4 linked regions of the Drosophila melanogaster genome follow. The protein of the gene in region 2 interacts with the protein of the main gene of each other region in a pairwise test. Each region holds a gene or a part of one and is shown on either strand. Other genes may lie near its edges. The genes, in order: Ing3, Acox3, Mst33A and CG4653.

Region 1 (5,435 bases), on a different chromosome or scaffold from region 2:
AGCTGGTTCACCAGCTGGGTGGCCTCCTCGATGCGGCCCGCCTGCACGGCTTCGCGGATGAGTATGCGCCCATCGAGGCTGCTCAGCTCCACGCTGGGCTCCAGATCCGCCTCGTGCTGGAACTTCTCGGCGGCCTCCTTGAAGCCCTCTGTGGATTAGCCCTTGATTAGCTGCTTGCTGTGGCTGCGGGCTGGTGACCCGGACTCACCTGTGACCAAGTAGTTCATGATCAGGCGATTCATGTCCGCCTGCTTGAAGGGAAACTGCTCCAGGCGCTGCAGCCACTCCTCCTTGATGATGGCCTCCGATTTCTCGTTGTAGCTCATTTTCTTGCTCTTGCGTATCTTGCCAATCTTGAGGCCGTTTTTCCAACCGATTTGCGTCGAATTCTGTTTACCTAATCGTCTTCCCGCTTTTCCTAGCCCTGTTTATGCGCTTTTATTGTTTACTAACTTGCAATGCACAAATGACGCTGGAAATTTTCTTTTCTTCTGTTCAGCGTGACCAGAGTGCTTTAGCAAGCGCAGCATGGTCACGCTGTTTGATTGCCAAGAGGGCGCGAATTTTGAAATCAAACTATCGAATGAACTATATTTTATTGTTTATTATTATTGTAGCGAAAACACCCTAAATTTGTTATTTAAGCTAGAAGCTGGCTTAAACTACTTTAGTTAAGATATATTAGTGCAATCCCAATCCACTATTCGCCTTTGCGTTCCGAACTGAATATAAAGAGCTGCTCTATTGCTGATCTAACTTTATTGAATACTTTGAATTTGTTTATTTGTCACTTTACAAGTATAAGAGCCGCTAGCGACGCGACCAGGTGCCTACGCCGCCGCCCCCGCCACGGAAGAGGGGCGCCAGCAGGCGCAGTCAGCCTCAGTTCTTTCGGTTGCCACGGCGCCGCATGGAGGCGGTGCACTTGGGGCAGTACCACTTGCCCTTGGGCGGCTGGGTGATGCCCACGCAGGGGTAGTGGAACCACTCGTAGGGACAGGCGTCGTTGTCGCAGGCCACCATGTCGCCGTAGGACACCTGGTTGCAGGTGCAGTAGCGCGGCTCGTTGGGATCGTACGACCATTCGCCCTCGTTCGTCTGCTCCACCACGAGTCCGTTCTCGCCGATGGTCAGGCTGGAGCCGGGCGTTACCGTGGTGGTGGGCAGGTTCATGGCAATCATTCCGGCGGGCACGCCCTCAGCGGAACTCTCCGCCAAGTTGCCTCCGCCTCCACCTCCGGGGGTCATGGCGAGCAGCGCCTGTCCACCCACAGACATGTAGGTTGTCGTGGCCGATGCCGCCGCCAGGGCCGCCGACGTGGTGAGCTTGTTCACCGATTCCAGACTAATCGACGACGACGAGCCAATCGAGTTGCCCGACGAGGAGCCGGCCGTCGGCTGCACTGTGGGCAACGTCAGCGCTGTGGTTAGCTTCTTCTTTTGCTTCTTCTCCTGGTGGTGGCTGCTGTGCCCGCCGCCGTGACCACTGCTGCTGTGGTGTCCGTGCCCATGACCATGCCCATGGCCATGACCATGTCCGTGCCCATGGCCGCCATGGTGCGACTGTGAGTGGTGCGAATGATGCGAGCCGGTGCTACTACCGCCAGCTGCGCCGGTGGCCAACGCTGTGCCGGCAGCCACTGTCACCGATCCAGCGGTCGACTGCTGCAGTCCACCCTGACCGGCTTGGGTCCAGAAGTCGGTGGTGGTGCCCGCTGTTCCGTGTATGGCCTCGTAACTCGCCTTGAGGCTGGCCGTGCGGCGGCCTTGCTGCATCTGCTGTGTGGCCACGATCGCCTGGCTGGCTGCCGCCGCAATGGCACTAGATGCGGCGGCTCCTCCGCCCAGTTGTTGCAGGTTGTAGGTGACTGTGGCCCCGGCGGCCGAGTGCCCACTGACATGGGCGTGCCCGTGGGCCGTACCAGCAGCGACCACGGACGTGGAGTTGCCGCCCGCTGCCGCTGCGGCGGTCGCTCCACCCGAGGTGCTTAGCACGGTGTGGGTAAGGTTCGTGGGCAGTTGGCGGACCAGCGAACCCGTTCCTGTGGCAAGCGAGCTGCTGGCAAGACTGCTACTGCCGCCGGCCACGCCCATGGCCACAGGCAGGGTGAGATGAGTGGCGGCGATGCTGCCAATGTGGTTGGAGACATGAGTTTGGGCAGTCGTCGCGCTGGCCAGGCTGGCGGCTGCTGCGGCCGTTGTGGCGGACGAAGATGAGGCTGCCGCGGCAGTCGTGGAGCCCGAACCGACCACGGGAAGTGAGTGATTCAGATTGGCGCGCTTCTCCTGAACAGGCACCGTGCATATGGTTTCCCGCCGCTTCTCCAGCTTGCGGTGGCGCTGACTTGAGCCCAACTGGGCGGTGGAGATGCTGGAGAGGGCACCGCCCGTTCCGGCAGCACCACTGACCAGTGCAATGCCGGAGGAGCCAGTGGCGGCACCCGTTGCGTGTCCCGTCGAGCTGTTCACCATGGTATTGGCCGAACTGGCGCCGTAGTAGCGGTTCTCCTTCTGGTTCATGCTCAGCAGCAGGGCGGTGGCTGCAGTGGAGTTGCCGTCCAGCTCCAGAGAGCGGCGCTCGAGGATTTCGGTGATGCCGTTGTTGTCCGCCTCCAGCTCGCACTTGAACTTGAAGAGCTCGCTATCCAGGCGGCGCAAGTAGCGCTCCACCAGCTCGTGTATCTGAGTGGCAATAGCCACCTTCTCGTCGGCGTCCTCCATCACCTTGAAGTACTCGCCGCGCAGGCTGTGGAACTCCGTGTCCATCGACTCGTGCTGCAGTTCGTCGCGCTTGCACTGCTTGAAGAACATGTGGGCCTTCTTGTCCAGCGAGTCCATGTTGTCTGTGCACCGCAAGGAGCAGTTATTGGTTAGTGATCCGGCGAAAAGCAGAGATTCGGATTCTCTGGTTGCACTTACTCTGGACGGCGAGATCTAGTTCGCGCATCTCGGTAAAGCGGTCGCGCAGCTCCTGCGGCAGGTGCTCGATCATCTCCAGATAGTCTTCGAGGTAAAGCATGATGGCGATGCGAATGGGCCGCGGTGTAAACCCAAAATTTTAACTACTTTGTGTGTTTATTAATGAAAATTCGTGTATTGTTGCGGGTATGTGTGTGACCGGATGGCGAAACGAAGTTAATCCCAGATGCGGATGGTAGTGCTCGATAATATCGATATTTAAGCAATCGACTCGAAACCGCGATACAAACTCAGGGTGGATAGCTGCGACACAAACCCTGTAAGGTGAAATTCGAAATTTAAATAAATTGTATAAATGGAAATCATAATTAATGATATTATTTATTTACATATTATAAGCTGTATTGTATAAAACTAAAAATGTGAATATATTTCAAAACAAATATATACTCACATTTTTACTGTTCAAAAGTTGTGAACAATAAGGAGTAAGCATTTTAAAGATATAAACAAACAACAGATGCCCATAGGATTGTTTCAAATATATCATTTTATTTCACTTATTGCCTGGCAAATGCGTGTTTACCCGCTTGTTTTTGGGTCTGGGATCGTGGCTCCCGGATGCACATCGTCCACATGCAGCCACTTTCGTTGCCACACGCGTCTCATCGTCATATGTATACTACATGCGTAAATGTAAAAAGCTTAGCTTAAACTTAACGAAAGTATTTAGAGTTAAGGTCGCTCCGTTCGGCTAGATTAACTTATTCGAATGCGAGGGCGCAGGCGCAGGTGCGGGTGCGGGGAATGATCCAAACAAGGTTTGAACGCAGCGGCGCGGAAACAAGTCAAGCTGCTAAATGCATCCAGTTTACTATCTAGCGGAAGGGGCCTCCTTCTAATCGCCAATCTGCCATATCAAATCAGCTACTACGCGGGATCGGGATTTGGGATTGGGTGCGAGATGTGTTCGGGCATCCGAGGTTGGGGCAATACTAAACGTAATCATAATACACACACATCGTAAAATGCTAAATCCTAGTCACACAGCTCACACAGCTACGTACAACACAACACGATTCCAGCATTCCATCATCGCGCCGCCTCCGTGGACGGCCAGCCCTATATGGACATCTCGGGCATCTTGTTGTGCTTGAGGTTGATCTGGACGCTCTGCGAGAACATCTTGATAATGCCGTAGTGGTCGTTGGCGAACACTTTCAGGAAGCTGGGCACGTTCTTGTGGAGCAGCTCGTGGCAGAACTGTGGGTATTTTTGGTAGGCCGGCTGCTTGTCATCCCAAATGGCCAGCAGATCGCAATCGTCGCTGTTGTAGAAAGCAGGCAAAAGTACATATTAATGCGATAAGAATACAATATCTCAATTAAGCGTTCAAGTGCCCGTCTCGAGGATTTTGTCTGCGTCTACTCACCGCACTTCGTTGGTGCACTCGTCCAGCGATATGATCAAGTACTGGATCTTCAGCTGGGCGCACTGGTTGTAGATATCCGACGACTGCTGACGACTGTACACCGAGTACACGTGCTCCGTGCGCTCCCTTAAAAAAGATAAACAAAGGCGGAAGTTTCAGTACGTGCATGGCCAGGATATGGATGCCAATGAGAGCGGGACAGAGCAGGGGCATAGTCGATAGGCTATCTCGCTCAGATTGGGAGAACTTACGCTATCTGACGCATCTCCAGGTGCGCATGGTTGACTATGGGCCGTTTGGTGGTCAAGTGCACGGTGCCGATGATGTCCACGGGGCCGGCAAAGACCGCATCTCGCTCTGTGTTCAGCTTGATCCACTCGAGCATGCTGTCCAGGTCGTCACCGCTCTTGGAGTAGCGCGTGGGGAAGTACTCTTCGCGAATGTTCTATTTTTGAGAGGGCGACGAAATCACAACAATTCCCGTGAGCAATAGAGGCGGTATCCAACTTACCACCATGCCCGGATCGAACATGCTGAGCAGGAAGACGGCCAGCGAGACCGACCAGAAGATGTTGCGCTGGCGATGGTACCACAGTTTGGAGCAGACGGTGGGTGCGATGACGCAGCCCTGCGTGAAGCTGAGGAAGAAGAGCTTGCGCACGGCGAGTCCGATAAGGGTGAAGACTAGCATCTGCAGGAAGCTGTACACGTAGTGCATGTTGAGGATCTGTGCGTTGGCCGTGGGCACCACGGAGCTGCGTCTGGAGGAGCTGCGCTTCCTCTGTCGATGGCCACTCGAGTTTGAGCCGCAGCCGGCGGCGGTGGCAGAGTGTTCCTCCTCCTCCTCTTCATTGTCCGCGGACCTGGACGGCGGCGTTTCAGTGGGATCTGCTGCAGACTCGGTCTCCGTTTCGCCACTACCTGGCTCCTGATTCTTCTTCTTCGATTCCGATTCTGCTTCCGGATCCTTATCCTCCTCCTCAGTCGGCGTGCTGGCCCCGTCGGTGGCCGCTTCTTTGGTTTCCTGCGCCCGCTCCTTGCGCTGCTTGACGCTGTTGCGGTTAATTTGCGCTCGCAGCCGCTT
Region 2 (5,788 bases):
TTAGTTGTCTTTAGTTGTTTAGCAGAATGTTAGTTTGATTTTAAATTGTATTTAGCTCAAATAGGCCATTTATTTCCTTTTAAATTTATTATATTCATTCAATATATACAAGCATTCATATTATTGATAATCTTAAGAAAATTAGAAATATCAGCGGTTTAAATGAGCAACACCAAAATATCACGCAACGTTTTATTTGAATCGTCAATTTGAATTTTTCGTAAGCAGCTCTATAAATGAAGTTTTAATGCGTACATATATATGTAAAAGCGACGTAATTTTTATAGCTTTTTCTAATGGAACATTTTTTAGCAACAATTAAGGAACTTATTGCGATTGCGCAGCCACTGAAACGAAAATAGAAAAAATTGAAATTGTAATCAATAACTACGTGTTACCTAATTAGTTTAATAAACAAATTGCCGAAATGGCTTATTGCAAGGATTTTAGCCAGAACTTATACAAAAGAGTGAAATGTAAGATTTGAACTCGAAATACACACGTAGGTTATAGCTAGACGTCAGATTATAATTATAAATGTAAAATTGTATTTTAAACATTCGAATGCAGAACGTTTTTGATTGCACACTAATTACCCCGTCATTTGTACGCCCTTAATTGCTAATATCAATCAATCTCCAAAGTGTTTTTAAAATCAAAAAAGGCAACTTCAGTGTGTTTTTTTGGTTATTATTTATTGTATTAAAAACGAATTACTATGCGGATGTTTACAATTTAGTTTTATAAATAATCTGACGTGTATTGTAAGAATAAACTGACAAGCCAATAACGAAGGAAAAATGAGTGCATGTTAACTAAGTGTGTAAGTTGTATTAAGAACGTAATCAAATAAATGCTATTAGATCAATTACATGTACATATTCGCATTTTATTGTGGGCTCTTGAAAAAAATAAACTATTCAACAGTTTTAATTAAAATCAAATTTAGAATCCATGAAAATTGTATGGTATGGATATGGATGCTCTTTTCATATTTTAAATGTGGATTGTAATGTTTTTATATATATTGTAATGTTTTTATATAACAAAATAGATAAAATTAGACCAGCAAATGACTCGTTTCTGATAGAAAGAATATTCAAATTACGCGCCAGACCTACTATTCCAGCCCTGGCTACCTTGAGAAGGTCTGGCAACGCCCCCGCTAAAACATTTTGTGAAAACATTGAATTGTGATATTAAAGAAAATTAAACATGAAATTTATGTATATTATGTATAATAATTAAATAATTATATTATATAATAATTAACAGAATTTAAAAAACTTCACATTTTGTATTTATATAACACCGTTCTTTCTCATGGCTTAAGTCACGTCAAACTATGTTATCTTCAATGGTGAAAAACTGGGTTAAAATTGTTTGTTTATCGCGCTTGTTGTTGGCTGATGGCTGATAGGAAATTAAAGCAATGTTTGTGGCCGCTAAAAGATTCGAATTTCGCAGGCAGCACCCACCACCACCTGCACGGGCCGCCCTAATCCCGCATTCTCCTAGGGCCCGTATCTTATCCGCGGCGGATGCAAACCACTAAAAGGCTACTTGGCCATGAAGTGCGGATAAGCGGATTCCTTCTTATCGCCGCTGGCCATTGGACATTGGCTATTTTACCAATAATAGTTACGAGTGCCTGGACTTTCAAGCATTTCGCGCCTAGCATTCGAAGCAGCCAGACCAGTCGCTAGAATCGAACTCCAACATGGTTGCATTGAGCACAAAGTAAGTACCCCTGCCCCACAGCCCCATCGCCTCGACTGACGACCACAACGTCCACCAATCCAACATTCCAACAAGAGCCAGTTCTCTGGGCAATGGCGAGCGGAGTAGGCGATGGCGATGGTGGTGACCAAAACGGTCTGAACTCATTACTAACCGCACTGGGCGACTATTACAGCGGCCGCCGGGAGGAGAAGGCTGCAGCCAACATCTACGATGACAAACGGATCTTTCCCGACTTCCGTAGCGGACCTTTGGAAGAGTACCGTGAGCGGGCTAGCTTCTGCTACAAGCGCATGAACGTGGTGCTCGAGGGCGAGGATCACATACGGCTGAAGGTTCGTTACCATTTCCAGTTTGTTACATATGTACATGGTCAGCGGGGTCGAAGTGCAGACTGCCTCGATAGCTTTTGTCGGAGCTGCAGGCCGCCAACCGCCCGGTCTAATCGTCGCCCGTTTCTTATCTGCACACTTGAGTAATTCGTTTACATGTCACTCCGTCTTTAGCACAAGGTGTGGCAATGGATGGAACAGCACCCCGACTACCAGCGGGAGCCAGGATCCGATTTGGAACGCACCCGCGAAATGGCCAACAAGCGGCAGCATCTTCTGTGGGAGCAACAGTTCTACGGCGTCAACGAGGTAGGATGCGTTGCGTACTCCTGAAAGTGTGGCTGCCTAAATCTCCTGTCTTTCTTTCAGTATCTTGGAACCCCACATCTTCTGCTTGCTTTCGGACAGGCCATCTTTAGCTACGATTTCAGCACTTCGGTCAAGTTCGGCCTTTCAACTGGCATGTTCCCCAGCACGCTGGTCTCCAACGGATCTGGCCGCCTGGGCAAGTACGTGGCCAAGATCGCGGACAACCGCATTTTGGGCGCCTACGCTCTCACTGAGATTTCTCACGGCACCAACGCGCTCGGCATGCGCACCCGTGCCACCTACGATGTGAAAAGGCAGGAGTTTATCATCCACACGCCAGACTTCGAGGCGGCCAAGTGTTGGGTCGGTAATCTAGGCAAGACTTGCACGCACGCAATCGTCTACGCCCAGCTGTACGTGCCGGATGACAAGCACCAGGGCCTGCAGGCCTTCCTTGTTCCCATTCGGGACGAGCGTACATTGCTTCCATTCCCCGGCGTAACCGTCGGCGATATGGGCGAAAAGATCGGTCTCAATGGCATTGATAACGGGCAAGTACTTTCTTCTATCAGTTGATAAAACTAATCAACAGCAACAGAAATAATTTCGATTTGTTTGGCATTGCAGATTTGTGATGTTCAACCAGTATCGTATCCCTAAGGCAAATCTGCTGTCCAAGACCGGTGACATCGATGCGCAGGGAAACTACACCAGTAAAATTAAGGACGAGCGTAAGCGCCTTGGCGCCTCCTTGGGTGCCCTCTCCGTGGGTCGCGTCAATATCACTGCTATCACGTATGTGGCCTTGAGCAAGGCTGTGACAATTGCCACTCGCTATGCGGCCAGCAGACGCCAGTTTGGCCCTACCAACAGCCCGGCGGAGTGGCCCGTGATCGAGTATCAGTCACAGCAATACCGACTAATTCCCCACTTGGCCACCACAATCGCCTTGCGGGTGGCCACACTCTGGATAGGCAAAGAGAACGTGGATTTGACCATGAAGGGCTTCACTGGCGAGGACACGTCGCAAGCGGGCATGGAGATCCATGCGATCTCATCGGCACTCAAACCAGTTGCCACTTGGGCTGCCAGGGATGGCATCCAGGTATGAATGCTTTATATATGTATATAACCACTTTTACTTATCGGTTATATTGTTTTAATCTCAGGAATGCCGCGAGGCCTGTGGCGGTCATGGCTATCTTAAATCTTCTGGCTTGGGCGAACTTCGCAACGACAACGATGCCAACTGCACCTATGAGGGCGAGAACAACACGCTCATCCAGCAAGCGTCCAATTGGTTGATCAGTCTGCAACGCAACAATGCCGACTTCGTGGCAGTTTCCCCATTGGAGACAGTCTCCTTCCTGAAGGATATGGACACAATTCTGCAAAGCAAGGGTCAGGAGCGAACTCCTGCCGAAGTTTTGGATCCGCTCAGTGAGTATTTCTTAGTTATCCAAATATAAGATAGGAATAACGCAATTTTATTGCACTTCTATAGATCTACTTAATGCCCTCAACTGGCTTACCGTCTGGCAACTGGATACGACGGTGAAACGAGTTGAGGAACAGCAGCGCGAAGGAAAGGATGCCTTTGAGACGAGGAACAACATCCAGGTCTTTGCCGCCCAGAAGCTCTCCATTATCTACGGCGAGGTGAGATGCCAACCCTCTAAACCCCAACTAAATAGTAAAATAACCAAGTTTAATATTCTTTTAGCGCACCATCTACTACGTGTTTTATAAGTTTGTAATTGGTCTGCCCGACTCTGCTGAGAAGAAGGTACTGCAGCAGGTGCTCTCCTTCTATGGCGCCCACTTGGTCACAAAGTACTCCGCTGCTTTCTACCGCGGTGGTTACTTCCGCGAAAACTCTAACCAACTGGAGCTGTACGAACAGGGCATTCTGGCTCTGCTTCCCCTGCTGAAGAACGAAGCCATTGCTCTGGTGGATGCCATTGCTCCCACAGACTTTATTCTAAACTCTCCTCTGGGCATGAGCGATGGAAACGTAAGTGGTCTACCATAAGCAACTGCTACTCTTACTAAAGATTCTATCCTTTCGCAGGTCTACCAGCATCTGCAGCGCACGCTTGTCTCCACTCCAGGTGTCTACGAGCGTCCTCATTGGTGGCGTGATGTTACCTACAAGGATTACCTTAAGCGCGCCAAATTGTAGACTCACTGTAAAATCCCAAATAAGAAGACTTTACTCGTTGAGTTTTTGTAAGAAACTGATTTTATTTGGAAATATCTTCGGTTTAAATAGGTGACATGAGAATCGCATCTTAAAGTAAATGGCCTACGCAGAGGCCTAAGTAAATAGTCCCCGCCTTATCGAGGTCCCACGCTCGGGCACATCTGCCTATCTTGAGCGGCGAGGACCTTATCTGTGGTCTCCCACTAAGGGACTATTTTAGGAGGCGGGGAACGATCTCAAGTGACTGACTCATGTAGTGTGCACTTAAATTACATGTTTTTGAGCAATGCACCCATGTCGCCTTAGATAACAAAATCCTAAATATAATTTATCGCTCTCGATTCATTTACATAAGATATGAACGGAGCCCAAAATTGTAAGTCTTTAAATATATTCGTGTTCATGTGTGAACATTCTGCCAAAGGGCCAGCAAGCTGAGATGTACATTAGTATATTAGTTGCATTTATAACAGTAGTGGACTGTATTTATTTGATATATGTTCATTTATTTTGCAACTAAGATTTCAATGGGCCTAGTTTTTCTGGCTTTTAATTTTATTGGATTACAATTATGGTTTATATTATTTTTAATTCAACAATTTGTACTCAATTAACTTATTTTAAACATTTTGCTTTTTCTATGTAGAAGTACATTTTCTATTAAACAACGATATAGTGGACTGTATATTTTTATTTGTTATATTATTTTATTGTTTATTTACTATTGATATTTATAGTACTGGCAACGGACCTGCAAAGGTTATTGCTTGCATTCTTTGTTGCACAGCACATTTCCGTATGAAATATATTATTAATACTATCATTAGTATTAAAGCAATAATTAATCCAGCATGTCCGGAAATATGATGGAAATGTAAATCTTTCAATTTTTGATGGTTCTCTTTCATAAATTTAATTTCATTATTCAATCGTTCAAATTCCTCAGTATGATTTAATATTGATAGTTTCAGCGGATCCCAAATAATCTTCGGCGCTTCACTAATTTCTCCTATATAAGGTGTTGATAATAATTCTTCACTTTCGGACTGAATGTTATGGTGGGCAACTAGAATTTTATCGTCGGTTCTTGCCGTACAATATGGCGCAATGCTTAAAACTCCTTGCTGAGGCAAATCAAACAATTCAATTTGAGAGCCAGTACATTGCAGACGGACTTTTGAATTCGCAGGAACCTTAAACAACC
Region 3 (4,492 bases), 5.1 Mb from region 2:
CACCCCCACTGACGGCGCATAATTGCGCCGCGTCTGAGGCAAAATGAAAATATTTGAAGCTGCGAGCTTCTCAAGTGTAAAAAATTTAATTTCGAAATGTAGGTTTAACGAACGGAAATTGCTTTCGCTCTCCGCGGGAAAATTAAGTAAGCCCTTGCCGTTATTATTGTTGCCTGATTTTCCCTTCAACTTTTCGCCATCCTGTTGTTCCTGTCGCTTTTCGACTGCGGAAAAGCAAAGTAAATGCAAAGCCAGAAACAAAGTCGTTCGAAAGCATCGAGTCCCAGCCAAAAGTGTATCTCATTTGTGTTTTCGTTTTCAATTTGTTTGGCTAACTTTCTGATTGAGCTCGTGGCTCATTGCGGCGCATAACAGGCAGCGAATGGAATTATTTAATGCTTTACATTTGGCCCAAACAGCCGCCCCCCCAGCCAGCACAAGTTGGCCCCATTTCCCCGATGGCAGACTGCCGGGTAATTGCAATTGATTTGTCGAGCACTTTGCACGCCAATTTGTTTCTGGTCACGGTCAGTTTGGCTGGGAAATGTGGTCAAGGCTGTGGGGGGCCTGCAAATCGAGATTGTTATAATAAGTGGGCAAAACTTGAAGGCTCTCTTTGATCTTGGGATGTGAAAAACCAAATTAGCACCTTGCCAAAATGATTTGACCCACATTGTTGCAGAGAGGGGCAATCAATTTTGATTGCTCAACCTTTCTTATAACAAAAAAAAATTTTGAAATGGAACATATATTTCTATAATATTTCCATTTTTATTTACTTGAAGTGTATAAACATGTTTTACTTAAACTTAAATTATTCTACAATGTATTTCTCAGTTAGCCCGAACTTTTAAGGGTTAGATGGACCCATACAAATGTTTAAGTACATGTAAGACTAAAAATGAATAAATTAATAATTAATCCTATCTCAAGGGTGCGATAATTCTCGTACAGTTACCAATCAGTTTAAGCATTTAAGGGCCGTTAACGGCTGTTTTAATAAAAAAATACATTTTATAATTACGTTTTTTTTTGTGAAACCTTTTGTACAATTTAACCATTTAATCCCTTCCATTTGAACCCTCAGCAAACCACGCGAGGTCGAAGTGCATTTCTGCAAAGTGTCATAAGGTGGAGGCCAGCTAACCTGGCTTCCACAAACAAGTTTCGACTGAAAAGGCTTACTGAAACCGGTTCCTGAAAGTGTGAAACAAAAAACAACTCTCGAGGAAAATCCGCAAACACATGATGGCAAACTTTTTTTTTAAAACCCTTACCCAAACTTTCGGCAACTATGTTGCCAAACCTTTTTTGGTCAGTGCTCAGAGTTCGATCAACTTCCAGGGCACTCTATAGGAAACATTAATAACATTATCCGCTCCCAACGCCCAAAACAAATGCAAAACAAACTAATCAAACTTTTTGCAGGATAACCGAAACGACACAAAATGCGCAAAACAAATTGCTTTATTTTCTAATTCAGCTAGAAAGCATTTTCCATACTTTGTTTCCGAGCAGAATCTACGAGCGAGTGGGGGAAAAATCGAAAATCAATTTCTGTTAATGTGCCTGGGCCAAGAGTTTTTTTGCCCAGAGACCTTGCCACCCATATAGCCAACTACCCAGCCACCAAGCGAACCACTCACTCAACCCATGGAAATCCAGCATGCGTTGGCCAGAGCATATTTTTGCATAAAGTTTATGCAAACATTTTTACTCGAAACCCGCATAAATTACGGATGCCGTCTCGGTGCCCTAATAAACCCTATCTGCTGGATGTCTGGGGCTCAGTAAGTGGCCCGGCTGCTCCTGCTCCTGCTCCTGCTCATGGTTCCAATGGTTTCAATGGTTCCACTGGTTCTGGTCCTGCTTATTTTGCATGTCATTTGCGTCTGAGCACTCTGCGGCGCAGATTTTGGCCCAGATCTGGAGGAGCTCTGCGGGTGCAGAATGGATCCAAACGGTTCTGTGTGCTTCTATTCGATGTGCGGCAAATAAATCTTTAATATTTATAGCAGCAAACTTACCACAAAAAGATGTATTTTCATTCGGTTTAAAATTTGTAAGAAGCAGGCTGAGATCACAGTTGCCCCTGCGTTTACGTTTCTCCATTAGTCTATCAGTATAGAACACAGCACACACTTTCTAGGCTCACGTAAATAAGTATTTCGAAATTTTTTACTTTTTAAACACAGCTGTTGCAAGGAAAATATAACACTTGGATAGCATATTTAACATAGGACCTAGTAAACTAAATGCATAGATAATCAAGAGTATGTACCCTTATTTGTCGACTTCTATTTGTTTTTTTTTTTCATTTTTCATTCTATAGGCAACCTCCTTCAGGCAACCTCAAAATGGCGCCCGTTTCAAAACGCCGTTTACCGAAAAAATCGAATACAAATGTAAAAGTAACGAGCACACTTTCGAAAATTATAATGCAAGGAACTGAACAGTTGTTGGACTCGGGAAATAATACAAATATTCATGTTATTGAAAAACCCCGAATGGTGCGGTATTCAAATTCATCGCTTTACAGTGCGTTAGCCGAGGGCCATTCCACACCGGAAATAAATATTGTGGCAAGTAATAGCAACGCACATGGCAAGGTAGAGCTTAATTCTGAAATCAGCGATATGTCTATTGCATCAGTGTCGGTGAGAAATAAACCGTTTGTGAACTTTCTCCAGGATTTCTCCATAGCTCATGGTTCCGTACCCCGAGAAAGTATTCAGCAGGCCATCGTCGAGTGGGATAAACTGACAGCTGAGCAAAAACAAGAATATACTCCTGAAAACTACGTTCTAAAATTATGTGATCAAGTGCATAATCGTGACGAAATTTTAAATGCAGCTACACTGCATCCGGTATATCCAATTACAACCAAAATACAGAATGCATTTAATGAAGCCAGTACGTCCATGAAATCTGAAAAGTATGCGAAGAAGATCTCGTCCCCAAAAATACGTAAGACAATTAAGCGTTTAAAACCAAAACCACGAGTTCTGGTGACTCCCAGAAAATCAGCCAAAAATGCTGGCAAAAAGAATATAATTTATAGTGGTTCGGCTTACAAAAACTTTCTGCGAAAAACCGGTCAAGCCAATCCCGGTCTGATGATTGTGGAAAAGGCCTCATTATGGCGTAAAATGACTCCTGCCGAAAGGGATCTCTATCGGAATGTGAGCAGACCAAGGCGCCAGAACACCAAAGTATCCAGAGTTGACGCTCCCAAGCGCGAAAAGAAGCGTAAAACCTCACAGTTCACCCAGATTTCAGAAAGTGATTTTTCGGAAACTAATTTCAATATTCAGCGAGATGGCCAGCTAGAAGTTTGGAATGGAAGTACAAATTCCCTAGAGGAGGCAAACGGCTCCTGGTTCAAATTTGGATACATTGCTAAAGCACTTGGAACAGTCAAGAGTATATTTAAATAACTATTTCTTTTACAAATATTGTACAAAACATTTGCATAACTATAAAAAGCATTGTAAGCACGCAATTAAACACCAAGGTCAAAGGCGAAGGAAATTCGAAAGTTATTTTTATTACGGTTTACAAAACCGCAAATCGTGAAATCCCTTAAATTGATTTTGATTCAGTTTTTTTCACGAATTTCACTAAGCTTGGTGTGGCATTTGTCCTAAATGTATTTCTTAAGTCAGTCGAAACGGGTTGAAGTTTTAATTCTCCCTATACGGAATTATTCATCTGTTTGTGCAACTTGTAGCTCTGCCACTGCCATCTCCTCTCAACCCGCCACAATCATCGCCGATTTGTGGGTGGACTGGACGGACACCGAGATGAGTCGATGGGGCCTTTGTCTACACTCGACTTTCCTGCATTGGTTCCTGCTCCTGGGCTAACAAATTTCTCGCCATTGTTTACTCGGTTCAGAGTGCGTTCAGAGTCGTTCCAGCCCCCTGAACTCTCATAGCTGCTTCCGTTTCCGGCTTTGTTTTCGTTCCGTTTCGTTCGAAGAGCCCGGGGCTAGCTTTCCACATTTGGTGTTTATTTTATTGTACATTTGCTGCCGGCAATTCCGCTGAGCCGTGAACTGTTCGGCGTGTCATCATTCGCCTTGGCTTCAGTTGCTGAACATCATCATCATCATTATCATCAGACCCGGAATCACCAACATTATCACCACCGCCATATCCATATATGAGAGGTAAATTTCCACGGCGGCCCTAGACGCAAGGACAAGGTTGGGTCGGAGTTGGACGGTGTTGATGTCTGTGCACGTTGTTGTGTTCTGGCTGCTGTTATTGTTGTCTTTCGGTTGCTTTTTAACGTGCGCCCTTCGTGTTATTTACTTAACAATTTACTGAATAATTTACACTCCCCCCCTACCTTCCGCCCAGCGGATGGTGAAAGCTATCGTGTTGGGCATATTGGGCCAGGAAGTCAGCGTGCAGTGGAGTTTATAGATGCACAAAAACTTGGGCGCACAAATTGGTTTAGAATTTTTAAAATATTTGAACAGATTTAT
Region 4 (4,497 bases), on a different chromosome or scaffold from region 2:
AGGACCGGCCGTCTACCAGGGCCAGCTGGTGGGTCTGGGTGCACAGATCCTTGGCGAGTGCGGCGGAATGCTGCCCGAACGATTCATTAGCATTGCGGCCAACTACGATTGGATCCAACAGCAGTTGCAGCAATAAACCAATGTCGATAGCAAAAGCATTCCAAAAGCTTCATTTTTTGTTTTTTTTTTTTTTAAGGGAAATTTAAGTTACCAATATTGTTTAAAAATAGTTCATTGATATTGTGATATCATGTTTATAACATGTATATTAACTAAATAAAACCTAGAGGTAGTTTTTAATTTTTTTTAAATGTTTCCTCTTTTAGTGGCTTTTTAATTGGTTTTATCCATTTAAATTTCTTTTCTTTTATTTTGTTTATTTATAGGAAAAGCGTACTACTACTATCATCTAGGCAGCTTAATCTAATGAGGTGAAAGTTAAACAAATATCGATAGACCATAAATATAGCCATTATTACTTTGAAATTCGAATTTTGTAGCATACTTATAGGAGCTTTATTAGAAATCTTATAAAACGTTAATGATTAAGACATAAATTAACAAGTGGATTCAATGATTGCTGAGTCAGATGTAAATATATACCCATATATAAGCTGGAATGCTGATAGCACTTAAAATATCAGAGAAAACAAAACCTTCTTTATCTTAAACGCACTCGAAGTAAAGTTTTTTAATAGAAAGAGAAGATTGTTGAGTGTAAATCAAAAACGGAAAACACTACTTTACCTGAACCACTTTAGGTGAAATAATATTTATAAAATCTGTTTCAGTTGTATTTGTATTAAAAAAGAAGTATACAACTGATATTTCGTATTCAGTAAGCAATTTATACGTTGTTTCCCCTTTTAATTAGTATGAAACAACATATACTATTTTAAGTCGGTCACGAAAGTAATTGTTAAAAAACAATGTTCTCATACAGCATTTCCCTAATCAACGTCTCGGTTTTATTTAAACAGCGTTTTCGTTAATCCACTCCAGATGCTGGGTCACATCCACGTAGCCATCGGGCTGCTCGGAACCACATCCGCTCACAAAGAAGGCGGCAATGCCCACCAATTGGTTGTTGTAAGACGCCGGAGCTCCGGCATCACCGGAACAGAGTCCGGCGAAGTCCTCGTCCACCGGGGACAAACAGAGCAGATCCTCCTGCTGCAGGTACAGCTCCGTTTGGCAATCGGACGCACTCAGGCTCTGTCTGGTGGCCACCTGGAGGACATGACTGAGAGATCCGTCCACCTGGCTGGATCCCCAGCCGGAGAAGATAATCTGGGAGCCCGCCGCCGGTCGCTCGGTGGCCAAATCAATCGGATTCGTATTCGCATTCAGGACCACCGACGTTTCCAGCTCCAGCAAGGCCAAGTCATTAGAGCCAACTGCATCCGAACTGGAGTAGTTCGTGTGGATTATGATCTTGGACAGAGGCACCAGTTGACCACCGGTCAGTCGCTGAATGCTGCCCACTCGCACATTGTAGGATTTAGCTGGGTAGCTAAATGGATGAATTGGGTAATGTATTCTGTTTCACACGGTTATCCTACACAGTGAAAAAGTTATATCAACTTGGCAGCCCTTTTGAATTACTTAAATGGTATTAACAGCTCAACTAAAATATATATTTATAGTGATTATACTTTGAATCATTCTCTATCTTTTAAAGTAAGTTTCTTTCAAAATGTGAAAATATTTATAAATAAATAAATAATGTCTTGAAAAGTAAACAATTAGCATCTAATTGAATTATGCTTAACTTAAGTTGATATGAACTTTTTCTCTCTGTGTAAAAACCATCTACCTCTGCTGTCCACCGCCCAAACTGACGCAATGGGCTGCGGTGAGGATCCACTTTTCACGGATCAAAGCTCCTCCGCACACATGGACGCCATTCCGACGCAGTGAGATGCTGTGTGGCTGGGAGCCCACCTCCGCCGGCAGTCGACTGGATTGGACCACGCCCAAGGTCACGATGACCACGAGCAGGAGTAGTCGACTGTGTGAATATGACTGAACCGGACTCATGGCTTGTGGGATCTCAACTGAAAGGTGCGCCTACCGGCCGGCGGACCTTTATAGAACACCCCGTTTACGACCATGGGTTAAGCAATCTAATCGCCACACGATTGTTACCCCCATAAATTCAAGTCGCTCTCCTTATCGCCATACAATGCCCATCGATTAGATCGCTAAGTGGCGGTGACCACCGATCGTTGGCTGATGGGCCCATTCAGTTGCCAATCCATCGCCATGGCTGATCCACGCATTACTCTCGGCCTCGGCCTGCTAATCTTTGGCCTGATCCTCTCCGCGGAAGCCTCGCCACAAGGTCGCATTCTTGGCGGCGAGGACGTTGCCCAGGGCGAGTACCCCTGGTCCGCATCCGTGAGATACAACAAGGCCCACGTCTGCTCCGGCGCCATCATCTCAACAAACCACATCCTGACCGCCGCCCACTGTGTGTCCAGCGTGGGCATCACCCCGTGAGTTCTAACTACACTTTATGATTATATACACTTGGATTCCCTAAGCACTTCACTTTGAGAACTTTAAGAATATATATTCATCTACCAGTTCTAATCCCTATTTGTTCTAAATCCCCAGAGTGGATGCCAGCACCTTGGCTGTTCGCCTGGGCACCATTAACCAGTACGCCGGCGGCAGCATTGTGAATGTAAAGAGCGTGATCATCCATCCATCGTACGGAAACTTCCTGCACGACATCGCCATACTGGAGCTGGACGAGACCCTGGTCTTTAGCGATCGCATCCAAGACATCGCACTGCCCCCCACAACTGATGAGGAGACGGAAGATGTGGACGCTGAGCTGCCCAACGGAACTCCGGTCTATGTGGCTGGATGGGGTGAACTTTCGGATGGTACTGCATCCTATAAACAGCAGAAGGCCAACTACAATACGCTGAGCCGATCCCTGTGCGAATGGGAAGCCGGATACGGCTACGAATCCGTCGTCTGCCTCTCGAGAGCCGAGGGCGAGGGCATCTGTCGTGGGGATGCCGGTGCGGCTGTCATCGATGACGACAAGGTGCTTCGCGGTTTGACCAGCTTCAACTTCGGACCCTGCGGCAGCAAGTATCCGGATGTGGCCACCCGTGTCTCCTACTACCTAACCTGGATCGAGGCCAATACCCAGTAAAACTTTTGGTTCGCCATCCAAGGACTACCCTTTATTTTTTTATACATTTTTTTCATGTGCATAAAGTGTGTTACTCCCTCTACAAAAAAAAACGTTTTGTGTTTTTAACTTTATATGGATGCAAACTATATGGAATTTAGTGCTGGTCATAAAGCTACAATCGATAGAATAACATTTAATTGGCGCCGTTCAAAGGTTCTTTAATTACTAAGAAATTACCTTGAAACCTGTTTCTAATTTATGGGATGCCGTCAAGGATTATCTAACAAAATTGCCAAGTAAATGGTCACAACAATTGGCTATTATTGTTTATGGAGTCATATATATTAGAGAGTATGGCTATTTAACAGAACATTTAGATAGAGATCGAAGGAAATCGCCGTAATCAACCTGGGAACCAAACTTTTGTGCAGCTAGCTTGATCAATCGCCAATGACTGGGCTAAATCTTTATAATCCAGATTTGTTATCGCCAAGCTAAAGGGTAATTCCTACTAAATACGTTGATAATTTGCTTACATTCAAGGCAATTTTATAGAGTTTAATTAACACCAAAATGTTTAGACATTTTATTGAAAGAGCAACTCAAAAAATCCAAAGTTTTCCACGACTGATTTTAGATTATTCTGAGACCTGAAGCACCCTAATTTCCGTAGCTCCCCTGAGTCATGTGTTACTCATCATTATCTCCTATAGATGGTTGTAGTTGTACTGTCACTGGACACTGGTCGTTTGGTTTATTTGGACTTCCCTTCAACCGACTTGTGCAATTTTCTATTTATGTGCCAATTAATCGGTGAACTAACAAGTAACAATAGTCTATAGCGGCATAAAGCCATTGCCATAAGGCGATAAGATTAGATTTTCTCTGATGCCCAAGCCGAAGATAAGGATTGGTCAAGGAAGTGGTGGAGAACTTCGGGTAGAAGGTGGAGGAGGTGGTAGTTATATGGAGCTAGTCTCTTATATTCTCGTCGCTGGCATTGCGCATTTTCATTCCAACTGCCGTGGGTAGCAGAACCACCAAATAAAAAACCAAAAAAAAAATACAGGAACAAAATGATGCAGCCGAGACTAGTGATTTTGGGTCTGATCGGATTGACGGCGGTGGGCATGTGCCACGCCCAGGGACGCATCATGGGAGGGGAGGACGCGGACGCCACAGCCACGACCTTCACCGCCTCCTTGCGGGTGGACAATGCCCATGTGTGCGGCGGTAGCATTCTCTCCCAGACCAAAATCCTGACCACCGCCCACTGTGTGCATCGCGATGGAAAGCTGTGAGTACCAAAGTCAATCTACTAATTAATTAATTTTTACTACTAA

The links.
Region 1: the proteins of Acox3 (region 2) and Ing3 interact in a two-hybrid assay, tested with the Drosophila melanogaster proteins (one large-scale study listed by BioGRID).
Region 3: the proteins of Acox3 (region 2) and Mst33A interact in a two-hybrid assay, tested with the Drosophila melanogaster proteins (one large-scale study listed by BioGRID).
Region 4: the proteins of Acox3 (region 2) and CG4653 interact in a two-hybrid assay, tested with the Drosophila melanogaster proteins (one large-scale study listed by BioGRID).

The regions. Positions count from the first base shown.
Region 1 is NC_004354.4:18,649,945-18,655,379, forward strand, and holds Ing3 (inhibitor of growth family, member 3), read right to left. Parts: upstream 3,148-5,435; 5' UTR 3,020-3,147; coding exon 2,920-3,019; intron 2,844-2,919; coding exon 883-2,843; 3' UTR 774-882; downstream 1-773. Other genes in the region: Hou (houki), read right to left, coding at 1-148, 209-326; CG6659 (uncharacterized protein), read right to left, coding at 4,042-4,246, 4,352-4,477, 4,603-4,796, 4,863-5,435.
Region 2 is NT_033779.5:6,443,894-6,449,681, reverse strand, and holds Acox3 (Acyl-CoA oxidase 3), read left to right. Parts: upstream 1-1,819; 5' UTR 1,820-1,832; coding exon 1,833-2,075; intron 2,076-2,246; coding exon 2,247-2,381; intron 2,382-2,441; coding exon 2,442-2,932; intron 2,933-3,008; coding exon 3,009-3,486; intron 3,487-3,550; coding exon 3,551-3,821; intron 3,822-3,885; coding exon 3,886-4,040; intron 4,041-4,104; coding exon 4,105-4,395; intron 4,396-4,452; coding exon 4,453-4,563; 3' UTR 4,564-4,612; downstream 4,613-5,788.
Region 3 is NT_033779.5:11,584,469-11,588,960, reverse strand, and holds Mst33A (Mst33A), read left to right. Parts: upstream 1-2,127; 5' UTR 2,128-2,273; intron 2,274-2,332; exon of another isoform or gene 2,333-2,346; 5' UTR 2,347-2,357; coding exon 2,358-3,437; 3' UTR 3,438-3,528; downstream 3,529-4,492.
Region 4 is NC_004354.4:16,701,631-16,706,127, reverse strand, and holds CG4653 (uncharacterized protein), read right to left. Parts: upstream 2,048-4,497; 5' UTR 2,041-2,047; coding exon 1,817-2,040; intron 1,514-1,816; coding exon 973-1,513; 3' UTR 850-972; downstream 1-849. Other genes in the region: CG9672 (uncharacterized protein), read left to right, coding at 1-136; CG9673 (uncharacterized protein), read left to right, coding at 2,266-2,498, 2,620-3,172; sphe (spheroide), read left to right, coding at 4,231-4,451.